Pelodiscus sinensis: one gene and its partner. The protein of the gene in region 1 interacts with the protein of each later gene in a biochemical or structural test. Links are inferred from orthologs where the notes say so. Each region holds a gene or a part of one and is shown in the gene's direction. Other genes may lie near its edges.

Region 1 (7,781 bases):
AGAACAACCATAGTGTTTTGTTCAGAATTACAAATATTTTAGATTTACAAACAACCATCATTCCTGAGGAGTTTGTTCATAACTCTGAGGTTCTACAGTACATTACTTATTAGAGCCCTGTGCTGATACAAAATGTGTATCCACATCAGTATTTGCAAAAATGAGCTGCGGATATCCTCATCCATACCTGTGGATGCAGCTATCCATGGATATCTGTGGATTTACAGGGCTTTATTTATTAAGTTCTATACCAGCAGTAGCAAACCTACTGTTCCCATCTAGTGGTAGATCTGGAAAATGCTTCTCATGTTTTTGTTTGTTTGGGTCTCCACTGTTTTCACCATTTTCACCTCACTCCATCCTGTTTATTCTCCTCTTTTCCCCTTTATTTCCCTCCTCCAGTCTTACCCAGGAATATCTCTCTTCACCTTACCTGCTACTGGATATTAACTTAAGTTGAATACATGGTCCTGACTTTGTAGAAAATGCAGTGAATTAACAAAATCAATACCATATAGGCAACTTTACAGTAGCTATAGACTACTGCAGACTTAAATACTGTCAGCTTTCATTTTCTTGTTTTTGTTAGTTCACATAAAAATTGTTGTGTTTGTGCATGTGCACGTGTTGAAAGTAGAAATGTATTAATTTTATTTAGGATTTCATATGTTGTGTGTATACCACAAAGGATTTTACTCTAGAACCTCCTCAGTTAAATTAGTCTATATGCATTTTAAGGGAATGTTTGTACTGTTCTGTGCAGGAATACATTGTGTAACTTTTTTGCTGAACATTTTGAGTACTCTATGTACCAAATCTTTACAAAACAATCACAAATGCAAATATTTATTTTTTTTCTTTTTAGCTATGCCAATTTGATGTTGTCTCTAATGGAAAGAAGCTGTTGTTATCTCATGGTTACTGTTCTGTATGATGCAAATAAACATAAAGGTCAGAACTTTTAATCATTTTCTTTAGAAGTAATATCACTTTTATATATTTTTATATACACCACACATAGTAGGGGGCAGTGCCTGCTGCTGACTGCAGTTGCCAACACCACTGTCTGTGGGGGTAAGCAAGCCAGGCTCTCCCCCCAGGGGCTGTGCCAGCCCTGGCCTCTTCGGCCCCTCCAACAGCCAGGGAGGGGAAGGCCAGGGGCCATGCCAGCCCCAGCTGCTGGGGAGAGTCCAGGGCCATGCCAGCCCCAGCCTCTCACTTCCCTCAGCCACAGCCCTGGCCTCTCGCCTTCTCCCTCCCCCCCCCCCCCCATCCTCCTCACCAACCTCCCCCCAGCCACAACCAACCCCGGACTCCCTCCCCCCCCCCCCCCCCAGGCTGCTGGAGGAGGGCCAGGGCTGAGCCGGAGGGACGGGGGCAGCAGCAGTGGCTCCTTGCTGCTCTGGGGTTCCTGACGCTCAGCGGGGAACTACTACTTCTGGCTGCTCGGGCAAGGCATGCTGGGGATGTTGCATGCCTGGAGCTCCAGCTGAGACCCACCTCTCCCCGTAAAATTAGTGCACCAGCGTCGGCTTCCTGCAGGGAAGAGAGGCCCAAGGCTCCGTACCGGAGGCAGCTTGCAGAGAAGCGCACACGCTGCTATGAAGAAGGGGGCCTCTGGCGTGGAGCCTCGGGGTTTTCTCCTCTCCCCACTCCCCCACAGGAAGCTGGCACTGGTGTACTAATCTTGCAGGGGGAGGGGGCAAGAAGTTCCCAGCTGGAGCTCCAGAAAAGCGGTGGCCCCAGTGCTCCTGGCCCGAGCTGCCGGAAGCAGTGGTTCCCTGCTGGGTCCTGGAGCATTGGGGTCCCCAGTGCAGCAAGGAGCCATTGCTGCCATCCACTGATCCTCCTTCAGGGGAGCCGGGGGCTACAAGGGGTGGGAAGAACAGTCCTGAGCCATGGCTGCCTCTTTCCCTTCTGGGAACTCTGTTGAGCCTGGGGGGGGGAGAGGGCAGCGTAGAGTAACGTGATATCACTTTGTCACCCTGCAGGAAAAACTTTTTTCAATATGTATATGGTAAAATTTTGCCTCAGTTGTTTGTGTCAACAAATTTGGTGTCCAGATTTTGTATGTGTTTCTGTTTATTTTTAACATTCATGGTAGTAAAAGTTTATGATGTTTTGTTTGTTTGTTTGAAAATTCTTTATAACCCTGTTTCCACTTGCTTCTCAGCTTTGGAATAAAATTCCTAAAAGGCAGAAATTTTTCATGCTTGATCTCAATGCTAAAAAGGGCAGGGGGGAAGGAAGATGGGAATTGTGAAACAAAATGAAAAACAATGTTGCCTTCACTATTTTTTATAAAGTGTGTCCTGTTTACCCCTTTTGTTGCCACCCCTCCCTTACTCTAGCTTTGCTCCCTCATTTGCACCCTCATTATCTGAAAATCATATTATATTTATGATGGGCACTAAGGCAGGATTTTCAGTACCTCATGACCTAAAATCAGGCATGGCTTCCTCCAGGTGGTATAATCATTCATTAATGAATGTTTGCAAAATGCTTTGAAGATGAAAAGCTTTATATACATGTTAAGTATTATATCGGGCTGATGAATTATTTTTATTAAGCCCAGATGTGCCTTCAGTTTTCCTTGATAATTATTAACTTAATACAAACAGGTTTTCCACTGCTTATTGAACAGCTCTTGAAAAACATTGTAAAATAACCTATAATAATTCATTTTTATAAGAGAAAATGTTAAAATATATTTGGCCAGTGTTTGCTTCATTATAATATTAGAAGAGTCATTATGACTTTTGCTGATTCAACTTTCCCTTTTTCTCCCCAGGTCCACCATTTTATGTTCCTGATACTGAAATTAAAAGTTTATTTGGTAGGTTAACTCCACTGCAGTTATGATTTTTCCAAAACGTCGCAAACAAATGTGTTGATATTCTAGTATTTTGACTTGTTCTGAAGCAATTGAGAAGAAAGCCTATAAGGATGTTTGCTTCATGTACAAAATCTGGGGAGACATACAGTGTGAAAATAAATACCTTTTCACTCCAAGATTATTGATATGCACAACAAACATCACTTCCCTGAAAGATATATAGGCTCATTGTTTAAATACACACTGTAAAGGAAATATGAACCTGTGCTACCAATAAGACATGTACAGTCCCTATGGCCCAAGGTTACTTTCCATGCGGAGTCTTCAATAATAGGGATGTGGACGACTAGTCGACAAGCAAATGCTTATCGGCTAGTCTACTTGAGTAGTCACTTCCCTTCCTCCTCTTGTTGCCTCTGTCAGAAAGAGGCAGCAAGTGGTGGGGGAAGAGGAGGTGGTACTCAGTGGCAGTGTCCCCAGGCTGCATGCAGCATTTCAAAGCGGCAGTGCCACACTGACGCTGGGCACCCTGCAACGTTTCTAAGCGTCAGCGCCACACAGAGCCCAGGGTCAGCGGGGAAATCGCCAGCTGATCCCGGGCTCCCCGTGGCACTGCCGCTTTGAAATACTGTGGGGAACATGGGGCCAGCAGGGGACTGTCCTGCCAGTCCGTGCTCCCCACAGTGCTTTCGCCTTTGAAATATAGCAACAGCCCTGCACTGTTCCAAAGGTGGAGGTGCCCTATTGACTAATCCAATAGTGGATACAAATTATATCAACTATTCAATTAGTCAATTACTCAAAATGTAACATCCCTATCCCATAATTCAACCTATATCCCTATGTTCATTTATCCCATAGCTTATCACTGCTGGCCCTATAATAATTTTCTCATGTCCTTTCTGATCTGACATTTTGGTTGGTCCCCCCTCCTATGCCCCCAAGCCTTATTGTTTGTTCATTTAACACAAGTACCTTGCCCCATTATCTGTGTGTTTTCTGCTATAATTCTGAGACCAAAGTTAACTTGCAAAAAAAAAAGTATGATGATAGTAAACCACCATGTTAAGGGAATTAAAGATCGAAAGTAAAACTACTGAAACAACAAAATTGAGTTAAGATTGACATTTCATCCTTGAGATGCCTTAAATTAAACTTTGGTTCACAGTTCCTGTAGTTTACTCCCGTCTCAAACCTCTGAAGGATCTAAACAGCATGAATTATTCTTAATTAACAGTGGCATACAATTGTGAAAGAGGGCTAAATGCTGGTTACCTTATTTATGCTGGTCTACAAATGAGTTAGATCAGAAAGATTTGTTCTAAGAGCATAAAAAGTTCACGATTGAAAAAGCAAAAACAAATTATTGTAATCTTTTATCATATCTGTACATTGCTAATCTTCTTTTTCAGGAAAATTCTGTGAAATCAAGGATCTTGAGAAGGTTGATGACTTCTCGGACAAGCACAGGGCCTGGGGACTAGATTATTTCCTGGAAGTAATATATTTGCTTACTTTAAAGTCTGTTCCTTGATGAAACAATGAACAAAAAATGTATTAAGATGGAAAGAATTATATTGATCACACTTTCTTTGACATGAGCTGGATATTTGGAATTCTGAAATGCCTCAGGGTATGAAAAGTGGGTTCTGGGACATCTTTGTCTTTTGAAGACTTCATGCATTCAAAGACAATTAACTATACATCTGATTTGATTTGCGTAATCTGCATTGTAAGATTTGTAGCATTGAAATTATTTTAATAATCATTGTAACATTGTACCTCTGTCTCCTGTATTATTTCAAATAATTAAAATAAAAAATAATGTATATAAAAAGAAATTGCAGTTTTCCATACCAACCAATATTGCCTGTCTGCCTGGAGCTTTGTAGTCTCGTATCAGGTACTCACAGTCCCAAACTGTGTCCTGGAAACTATGCTGTTACAAGCTGCAGGATGGAAAGTTTTTATGTTTTGGGATTCTGGAGTCCTGCCACTACTGGCTGCTGGGTAGAAGAGACAAGAGTCTATTTGGTGGCTGTCTTTTTCTCCCTATCTCTCTTGCTCTGTGCTATGTGGATTGGAGACTGGCTGGCAGAGAGCAAAGCAAAATAATCAACAGCAACCATGACTGGATGAGGGATCAGCTATAGATGTACAAGATGAATAAAGAAAGTGAATAGAAAGGGGAGCAGAACACACTGGGAGTAGATGATCTCTGAAGTTTTCCATGACTATGATATTCTTCCCCCTCAATACAGCAATTATGAGTACAGGAATCTCGCCATAGGAGGAAGAATTGTATGGGGAATGTGGCTTGTCGGCCGTAAGGGAGACCTTTCTGCAGTTTGAATAAGCATATGAGCTTTCGGATATTTATCGGAACTCAAACCCTTTAGGGGTTCTCCCATTGCTAGTTGACAGATACTACTACAACTTTGCAAAATGGAGGTTTTGTTTTGAGTCCCTAATAATAGATCCATTTTTTAAATATCTAAAATTTACCAGGATGCAGACCAGTGTTCCCTGTAGGCTGTTTGCTTGTGCAGCCACTCAGGAGAGATTCAAATGTCATCTAGTTGATTAGCAGACTGCCCACAGCTAGACTTTTCATTTATATTGATGGTGCACATTCACATATGCCTTGGTGCACATAAAAATTATTCCACACATGAATGGAAAAGATTAGAAGGACCATTGATGCTGACACATTCTACTATTGGTTTGCAGACCCCTTTTCTTCTCCTTCTCCTATTCCCTTATACAGAGAAGTGCTTCTGAAACCAAAGCTGATTTACAGTATCGCAACATGATATTTAAAGGGTGTGATGGTTAAAGCAGTGATCAGGAGCCACGCTCAAGCAACTTCAAAGCCCTTTTCCCTTTCAAGTTTCTTTTGGGGTTTTGGTAAGTCTTTGTGTGGTGAAGGCTTGTCAGATGGTTTCTTCTTACCTACACCATAACATCAATCAGCTCCTGAGACACAGCAGTTTTCTTCGTGTGAGCAACACTCCTTTTTATGCTTGCTTCCTCCAGCTGGTAGTATATCTGGTAGGGATAGAACCCGGAATTGTTTATTAACCTTGTAATTGGCCCTTCACACAGTGGTTAAAAACAGAAGAGAAGTAGAAGCAATGTCTTATATTAAGTATATGTCTCTTGCTCCCTCCATTTCTCTTTACGGCAAGCATTGGATATTCCTTGCAATCATTGTATTGAAAGAATTGGCAGGTCTGATGTGTCCAGCATATTTGTAGTTGTAGTGAGTGATCATTTTATAGTTTAAACGAAGGGTGTGGTGTGGGTGTTGGGTGGTGGTTGGTTTTTTTTTTTTTAAACCCTTGAAGTTGGATAGAGAGAAAAGCAGAAAACCCCTACTGGCTGACTATATAAATACGGCTCTCCCAGCATCCCAATCAGTTTGTTCCTTTGCTTACATCGGAATCTATCTTCTCAGAAAGATAAGCCAACTACAGAGGATGAACAATGTACTTACAAGAAAAATAAACAACAAGGATAAAGAGAAAAGCAATTCTTACACAGCAACATCCAAGCACTGAGATGAGGTAGTGTGATATGTACAGAAAAGAAGCTGAAAGACGTTCTTTTTCTTCTCTAATGATACCAGCATTGTGAAATCCTCACTCCTGGGCTTTGAGATAATGGATATTCAAAAATTAAAGTAAGTAAAACTGAAGTGCGCAACAATATTAAGACCAAGGCCAACACTGTGAATGGGAAGATTTTAAATATAAATACAATGAGTAAGATACTAACATTCAAGTTTGCCAAAAAAGACAGTAATGAGAGAGAAAATCAATACATTAGACCATCAGTTTTTGCAAGACACATCCCCAAATTAAAATCAACACTTAGTGCATGAGGGAAATTTGATCCCACCTACTTTGGAAACAAGTTTTGGAACACAATGAGTTTGAAACAGCATTCCCAGGAGCCCGAATGCAAGCATTAATACTTTAGTAAAGGTACACAGAGGGCATCATGTAGCCATTTCTTTTACATCATTCACATACATCTGTGATAGGATGTCTGATTTCAGGGATGTTTCTATTAGACATAATCTTCTTGATCATAACATAGTTGAGTAAACTGTTAAAAGGAACAGTTAAAAGGACTTAGTCTACTTCCAGCAGAACCCCAAGGAACTTTTAGCTGTGACCATATGGAGAAGGGCCTCCTGGGATGGGCAAGATGGGTGTGGGAAGAATGCTAACAACAAGAGGTCAGAACAGGAAGTCTTTGTTCCTGAAATTCCCAGCATCTTGCTAGTAGCAGGATAAAAGATGGAAGAAAACAGTGGCCTGAACTGCTTCTCTAACAGATTAAATTCCTGCTCTTGACTGGATTCCTGAAAATGATGAACCCTGTTCATTTATTGCATCCTGAATAATTACCATATAAATTGTCCATTACTCCTCCTGCTCCGTTACTCCTGCTTCTATGAATTATTGGACTTTTATCACATATTGATTCTTGAAAACTGATGTGGACTATGAAACCATGCTTAAATTACTCTTGTTTAAATGATATGAGACTGGGATTTATAGCTTACAGTTCAGATATATTTTCATGCCAAATGAAATTTAAAAAAAAAATTGAAGAAAAAGGGAAGATAATAAAGTAATTCCCATTCATTTTGGTGAGCCCATTGCATTTTCCCAACTTTCCTTTAGATGGCAGGAGATTACAACCAATGCTTTTATGTATTTATGGAAAGGTCTCTGATGTAATGCAGTCCTGTGACTGTCCAATGTGACCAGATTTCAGCGTCACATTGCTAGCATAGTTTAATCAACAATCTTCTTAAACCTGCACTATGTCTGCCACGGCCTCTGATAAAATGCAGATTATGACAGAACTGGTGAGCGAAACTGAGGTCAGTCTTCTTGAATGCAAAGTGTGCTTTGAAAAATATACCCAGAAG
Region 2 (7,331 bases), on another chromosome or scaffold:
CCCCTCTGGGGCAGCCAGAGCAAGAGGACACAGCAGGCTCTGCACTTTTTCCTCACTTCCTAGTAACAGCGAACAGGGGGAAAAACCCACACTGACCAGGTAAGTGTGGCTGCAGCTTCCCCCAGCTCCCAAAATGGCAGCTGAGGGGCCTGGGGCAGTCCCAGATGGGGGATCATCCCTAGACACCTCTGCTAACTTACCTTCTTTTCCCCAACTTTACTCAGTGATGTCCATTTAGGCCATCTAATGATCCTGGGTTTCCTATGCCCTGGGCTCAGATAATTTGTGCAACCATTGGGTTGCACGCTTGGCAATTTTACCTCATTGCTCACTCTGCTCTCTTAGACGAAGGACCATGTCCCCAGGACCAGGTGCTGTCTGATACAGATGTTAGGTACTTTTCAAAGCCACTGCAGGAAAACTTAAGTCACCACAGCTCCAATCTTGACCCATTTAATGATTTGTGGCTTTATTAACTGCAAGTAAAACTATGAATGAACCAATTAGAGCCCCTTCCTGGCAGTGTCAGCTAGGTCCCAGTAATCAAGCTTTCAGCCGGCAAGTCTTAATGCTCTTACAAAGGCTCTTACCCACCTGCTGCAATTCAACTGAACATTCCATCTAGCAATCGAAAATGCATTTACTGTGTCCTCAGATATTACCATAGGCATGCGTACAGGGTGTGCCGGGTGTGCCTAGGCACACCCTAATGTCTTGGGCCAGCTAGTGACTGCCGGAGGAGGAGAGGAATTTGTGACGGAGCGCCACAAACCCTCACTTTAAATTCCCCACGGCCATCTACGGGGCACTGTGGGGCAGAGTGCGCATGCGCGGCGTGCTGAAATGCCGCGGAACAGGTGAGAGGGGAGACGCCTGGCTGTGACGTGACATCACGGCCCGGGACTTTCAAACTGTGTGGCCCAGCTCCAGAAGCAGCTGAGGCCCTACTACAAATGTTGGTTGGCCCGAGCCATTTTTGCGCTCCGGGCCCCGCAACACCGCCCCTTATGCACCCGGGGGCGCCCCGTCCGGCCCGGCAGCACCGTGTGGCCCCCCGAGGCACCTTCCCCTCAGCCTGGCAGTACTGCGCGGCGCCCCCTCAGGTGCCCTGGGGACACCGTGCGGCCACCCCTTGAGGCACCCTCCTCCCCGCACGGCAGCACCACGCAGCGCCCTGGGGATGCTCCTGCCCGGCCCAGCAGCACCGCACGGTCCCCCCGAGGCGCCCCGGGGACACCCCTGCCCAGCCTGGCAGCACCGTGCGGCGTCCTGGGGGCACCCCAGCTAGGGCCTGGTCGGCCTGTAGCTTGGGCCAGCTCTGACTCCAGCCCTGCGAATTGGAGGCAGAAGCCGAAGGGAAGGAAGGGAAGGGGAGAGGAGGGGGAAAAATAAGAGGAAGGGGTGGGAGAGGAAGGGGATTGTGCTGAAGGGAGGGGGAAGATCAGGAGAAGAAAGGGGAAAACACTAAGGGACAGGGTAGAGGAGAGGCAAATGCCAGAGGGCCAAGTGGAGACAATGAGGAAAAGGGCAGGAGGGGAGGTGTCAGTGGGAGGGGGGACAGGGTGATGCCGGGAGAGGAGAGGGTAAGGGTTTTGGGGGCTAGAGAGGAGAAGGGGAGGTGCTGGGAGAAGGCTTGAAAGAAGGGGTGGGAATGAGGAAGGCAGGGATGGAGCAAGGCATGTGTGAGGGCACAGGAGCATGAAGGGAATGGGGGCAGAGGGTAGTGAGGGGGTGGGCATCAGGAAAAAAGGGGGCAGGGGCACTGAGGGAAGGGGGACACCAGGAGGGTGCAGGGGTAATGGAAGGTACAGGTGCCAGGCGATTCTGGGGGTGAAGCAGAAGGGCAGACACCTGCAGGGGAGGTACCAGCACCAGAGAAGAGAGGCAGGGCAGGTGTGTAGAGGGAGGTGTTACGAGAGGGGATGAGGAAGGGTAGCTCACATGATCAGAGTGGGGCTACTGGAGGAGTAGGCACGGTGGGGGGGAGAAGGGCTGGTGGAGGGGGGCAGGTCTCAGGAAGGCTGAGGGCAGTGAGAAGGGCAAAAGTCAGGACAGCAGAGGAGGGCGAAAGGTTGGGGGGCAGCAGGCACCAGGGGAGCTGATGGAGCAAGGGGAGGAGACATGGCAACAGAGGGTAAAGGTAGAGATTTATGAGATATTTATTAATAACTTGGGTGCCAGAGTGACACATCCAAACAAGCTACATGCACAACTCAAAATTCATTCTGCTCATCGGAGGAAACTTAGAGGGAACACTTCCCCCAGCCTCTCCACCCTGAGTTAATGTCTTACACATTGGGGTAATGCAACTGCAGGATAGTTGCATGAGGGGAGTTTTGGGGGGGGCAAACTAATCCATATTGGTAGGAGGATAGTGGGAAAAGTCCGGGGGGGGGGTCACATGACACCTTTTGGTCATGTGTCCATCTTGCCCAGAAAGTGTTGCCTCCAGAGGTGTGGCCACTGGGGGTCAGGAGCGTGGCTAACAGGGTCAGGGCTAATGGGGGTAAAGTACATTTTTAAAAAATTCTTTGGGTGCACACCCTAATGAAATGTGCTGCGCACGCCTATGGATATTACCTGTCTCGTGTCCATCCACAGGTTTCACTTTGCCTACAATCCCATACATAAAATGACACTACTGAACACATTAGCTAACATTCTTCACCGATATCAATCCTGCAAACACTTCTACCTGTGAGAAGATGTTTGCAAGATTGGGGGCTTAAACTGTAGTGTAAACTATTCAGTGTGGATCAGTGATGGGCAATATAGGCAGCTAGTGAGCGGGCCACAAGTGCCCCTCCATCTCACTGGAATGCAAGATTGTTGTAACCAAGATGGTTTCCATGAATAGGGTAGTTTTTCTACCCATGCCTTCGTACCTAGAATTCGGGGGGAGGGGGCGGTGCTGATTAAACTGTAGCAGCGTGTTGTTTGGATGGATGTAGAGGGAGCACATGGCTTCCAGAAAGTTGCACGCATTGAGCACATAACTCGCTTCATATACCTGCCGGCTGCGTCTAGACTGGCAAGTTTTTCCGCAAAAGCAAGTGCTTTTGCGGAAAAACTTGGCAGCTGTCTACACTGGCCACTTGAATATCTGCAAGAACACTGACTTCCTACTGTATGAAATCAGTGTTTCTTGCGGAAATACTATGCTGCTCCCGTTTGGGCAAAAGTCCCTTTTGCACAAAGCTTTTGTGCAAAAGGGCCAGTGTAGACAGCTCAGATTTGTTTTGCGCAAAAGTGCACCTAGATTGGCACGGACGCTTTTCCGCAAAAAGTGCTTTTGTGGAAAAGCATCCGTGCCAATCTAGATGCCCTTTTCCGCAAATGCTTTTAATGAAAAACTTTCCCGTTAAAAGCATTTGTGAAAAATCATGCCAGTTTAGACGTAGCCTTACTGTATGTGCATGTACTTTAACACAAGTAGGAAACAAACTATACAGACAGAAAGCAGCTGACTCTGGCAATCCGGTGGGCAGGCAACAGTAAACAAAATGTCCCTCAGGCTACAAATAGAACCCCAATGGGATGCAGATTACTCACCATTGTGCTAGCCTGTTTCTATGACAAAGACACAAATGTAAATGGGGCACCCCAAAGAAGTGGGGTGCATAGCTTCAAGTAGTAAAAATCTCCCTATATATAAACCACTAGGAGGCATTAGCCTAACACACACATTAGAAAAGCTGATGACAACAGTGAGAATGATGACCAACACACCGGGGCATTTTCCAGGAGATATAAATAGCGCGAGTGCAAGTAATGCAAATTTTACGGGCTCTGTGTCCCTCTCTCTCCCCTTTACTAGACTTCTGTTTGGTTTGCTAGTAGAACTCAAGCGATTATTGGTAACAGCGCCCCGTGTCGTCCCTGCTGCGCACAGTGGGGCCCCTTCTACTGCTAACTTTTCCACTGCAGCCAACTCCAGGGGTGAACTTTCCCGGCGCGAGCGAGGGGTCCCCTGGCCGCAAGAAGCCCCCCCCCCCGAGGAGGCTCCGGGGCTGCTGCAGAATTGAGCTGGCGGCAGCCACAGTTCCACGCGAGCTAAACTCACAAGCTGCGCTAGGACCCGAACGAGCCGCGTGCCCAGCGCCCGACACGTCGGCTCCCCGGGAGCAGCACGCGCTCAATCCCCCCCTCCCTCCTCTTCCCGCACATGCGCGTGAGACCCTACACACCAACAAGTGGCGCGCCCGCTTTTCGTGCCTCACACCCGTGCGCCAGGTGACGTCACATCCCAGAAGCGCGCGGCATGTGGGGTCCCTCTAGCGGTGGGGAGGTGACAAGTCTCCCGGGGGGGGGGGGGGGGGGGGGGGGTGCAGGACTCGTTCACCTTCCCCGCGGCCGGGAGCGGGCCGGGCGCTACCATGTTGTTCCGCTTCGGGGTGGTGCTGCCGGCCGGGCTGAGCGCGGGGGGCGCGGTGCTCCTGGTGGCCGGCTCGCGGCCGGAGCTGGGCCAGTGGGACCCGCAGCGCGCGCTGCCCATGAAGCCCGCGCGCCCGGCGGCCCCGCTCCCCGCCCAGGAGCCCGCGCTGTGGCTGGCGGAGGCGGCGCTGCCGGACGAGGAGGCCGCGGGCACCTTCTGGTTCAAGTTCCTGCGGCGGCGCGGCGCCGACACCGTCTGGGAAGGTAGCGCCGGGGACCTCCCCCCGCCCCGGGCTGCTGCTCGGCCTCTGCGGGGCGGGGGCGCAGCCAGGCCGGGCCGCGCGGAGAGCAGCTGCTGCCGCGGGACTCCCGTTGCGTCTCGCTTGTAGGGAGCTTGCCCCCCCCCCCCCCCCCCCCCGCACGAGGGGTTTTTCTGGACGGTGTCCCGGCTGCGGGCTCTGAGCGCCCCCGTCTAGTTCCCCAATTATCCGCTTTCGAACAGCCCTAACTAACCGGCGCTGCGGAGAAACCCCTTCCCTCCAGAGAGGAAGCCTCGGCTCTACAGTAGGGTAGGGCCCCCCGGCTGTGCCGCTGTAGTGCAGGGGAGCCCGAGTGTCTAGTATCAAGGAGCACGGGGGGGAGAAGTACCGCGAGGTGGGCACCCACGCTTTGGAAATGTTATCACGTCATTGGTGCGTGTCTCGGATGTTTATTTGCATGTGTGAACAAGCCTTTCGGCAATAAAGTTTAAATTCCTTTGTTGGATTATACCCTGAGTGGAAGATGCCAAGAAAGGGATGTATAATGTAGTTGTCGAATGGAAAAAACACCTTCAGCTATGCACCGTGAAGTGTTTGGTGTATGGCCGTTACAAAGGCCAAGAGAAATCAACCCATTAAGACACGGTGGGGAACCTAAGGCCTGGGCTGCCTGGATCCGGCCCCCAAAGGGAGTTCAGTTCCCCGCCCCCAGCTTTTAATAAGTCCAGTTACTTTTAATAACTCCATTCATCTGAAGTAGTCAGTTGTACCCACCAAAGCTCATGATACCATCTATATGTTTTGTTCCTCTTTAAGGTGCTGCAAGACTATTTGTTGTTTTTTAAGTTTTTCCAGTTACAGATCCGGCTACCTCTGAAGCTTTTCTCCTCCTCAGTCAGGGGCCACATCTGTGAGTGTTTGTGGGGGGGGAGGGGTTGTTTCTCAGTTGTGTGTGGCCCCTGGCTGATTTTTCTGTGGGTCAGTGGTCCCCAACCCAAAAGAGTTCCCCACCTTTGCATTAAGAGCTTTATTATGTGTTTACTGTGTAAAATTTGCTACTTAACACAGCAAGTGAAAGGCCTAATTATAACAATGGCATATGAATTAATTGGATTGCTTCATTTTGTAATTATTATTTGTCTTGTGGTAGCATTCAAAATGTGCTCAGTTTTTAACAGACAGTCTCTTTCTTGAAGAGCTGAAGAAACCAGATACTGATAAATAGATGGGATTATAGTAATATAGTAAACCACTAAGCGCAGTATTTGATCCAGATAAATCTCTCAACTTGTAATTCTTTCCTTGTAATCAGTATTCATATAGACTTAAGAGTCCTATTGTGCAAAACTGTCACTGTAGCTCTGATATTATCCAACAGGATTGTAACAGTCTCCCTCAAAATATAGAAAGCTTAGCTTTCTTTGGAATAAAATTGCAGCCTCAGGATTTTGGGGATTTTTTGGTCAGGAAAAATAGAGAGGCAGATTTTCAGTACCGTATATACTCGAGTATAAGCCGAGTTTTTCAGCACAGCTTTTGTGCTGAAAAATGCCCCCCTCGGCTTATACTCGAGTCAGCATCTCGAACTGAGGCGGGCAAAGCCGCAGAGGCGCGGGACCCGCCCCCCCCGCGGCTGCGGCTTCAGTCCGGGAGCCTGTGGTCTGCTGGGGACGGTCCCCAGCAGACCACAGGCACCCAGATTGAAGCGGCAGCAGCGGCGCTTCCCCGCGCCTCTGAGGCTTTGCTCTGGCAAAGCCTCAGAAGCGCGGGAACCCGCCCGGTGCCCCTGGTCTGCTGGAGACGGTCTCCAGCAGACCAGGGGCACCGGAGCAGCTTTCGCCCCGACTCATTTCCTACCCTAGGCTGCCTTATTTCCTACCCTAGGCTTATACTCGGGTCAATACTTTTCCCCAGTTTTTTGGGGTAAAATTAGGTGCCTCGGCTTATATTCGGGTCGACTTATACTCGAGTATATACGGTATTTTTTCTCTTGTATATTGTGCCAAACTCCGAGGTTGGTTGAGAGACCAGAGAAATATAGTTGGAACTTTCTTTGCTATTAGATCACTCACTTTACAGTCAACTTTAAGGATTCTGTCTTTATTGGGTATATGTGAGGAATCCAGAAAATATGTGCTGCTATAGTAGTAAAATAGGGGTGAGGAACCTAAAGTCTGGGGGCCAAATGTGGCCCTCAGCTTACCCAGATCTGGTCCCCCGCCCCCAAGACTCAGGGCTTCCCCTCAGCATTTGGAAGCTGCATGGTGGTCCAGTGCCCCTGCTGCCCCATTGTGGGGCTGGAGCATACAAAATGTACTAGCCTGGGCCACTCCAGGCTCTAGTGTGTCAGGGGAATGTGGGGAGTCACTTTTTCCTCCTCGGTCGAGGGCCGCCTCAGTGAGGGTTTGGGAGCTTTTTGTTTTGTTTTGCTTCTCGCTTGTATGGACCCTGCCTGATTTTTCTGTGGGTCAGCAGCCTGCGACCCAGAAAAGGTTCTCCACCCCTGTAGTAAAGACTTTCTGCCTTTATCAGCCATCTGATTGCTTGCAAAATAGGTGTTTTCTTTTTCGAGTGGATGGGTTTTGGTACTCATCTTTTTGAAGGTATTAGAATAGTACCTTGGACTTTTTTCTTGTAAACACAGAATAGTTAAATTATGCATCCACAGATGATTTTCTAGGATTTTAGTTAGTTGTT

The links. The genes of interacting proteins can lie anywhere in the genome.
Region 2: the proteins of NHLRC1 (region 1) and EPM2A form a complex in vitro, tested with the Homo sapiens proteins (3 studies listed by BioGRID, with this or other methods). The link is inferred for Pelodiscus sinensis from reciprocal best matches to the Homo sapiens genes NHLRC1 and EPM2A.

Annotation. Positions count from the first base shown.
Region 1 is NC_134712.1:105,713,175-105,720,955, forward strand, and holds the start of NHLRC1 (E3 ubiquitin-protein ligase NHLRC1), read left to right. Parts: upstream 1-4,779; 5' UTR 4,780-7,673; coding exon 7,674-7,781. Other genes in the region: TPMT (thiopurine S-methyltransferase), read left to right, coding at 866-951, 2,792-2,836, 4,249-4,370. UniProt on the Homo sapiens protein: E3 ubiquitin-protein ligase. Together with the phosphatase EPM2A/laforin, appears to be involved in the clearance of toxic polyglucosan and protein aggregates via multiple pathways.
Region 2 is NC_134713.1:103,253,885-103,261,215, reverse strand, and holds the start of EPM2A (laforin), read left to right. Parts: upstream 1-4,317; 5' UTR 4,318-4,376; coding exon 4,377-4,638; intron 4,639-4,888; exon of another isoform or gene 4,889-5,066; intron 5,067-7,331. UniProt on the Homo sapiens protein: Plays an important role in preventing glycogen hyperphosphorylation and the formation of insoluble aggregates, via its activity as glycogen phosphatase, and by promoting the ubiquitination of proteins involved in glycogen metabolism via its interaction with the E3 ubiquitin ligase NHLRC1/malin.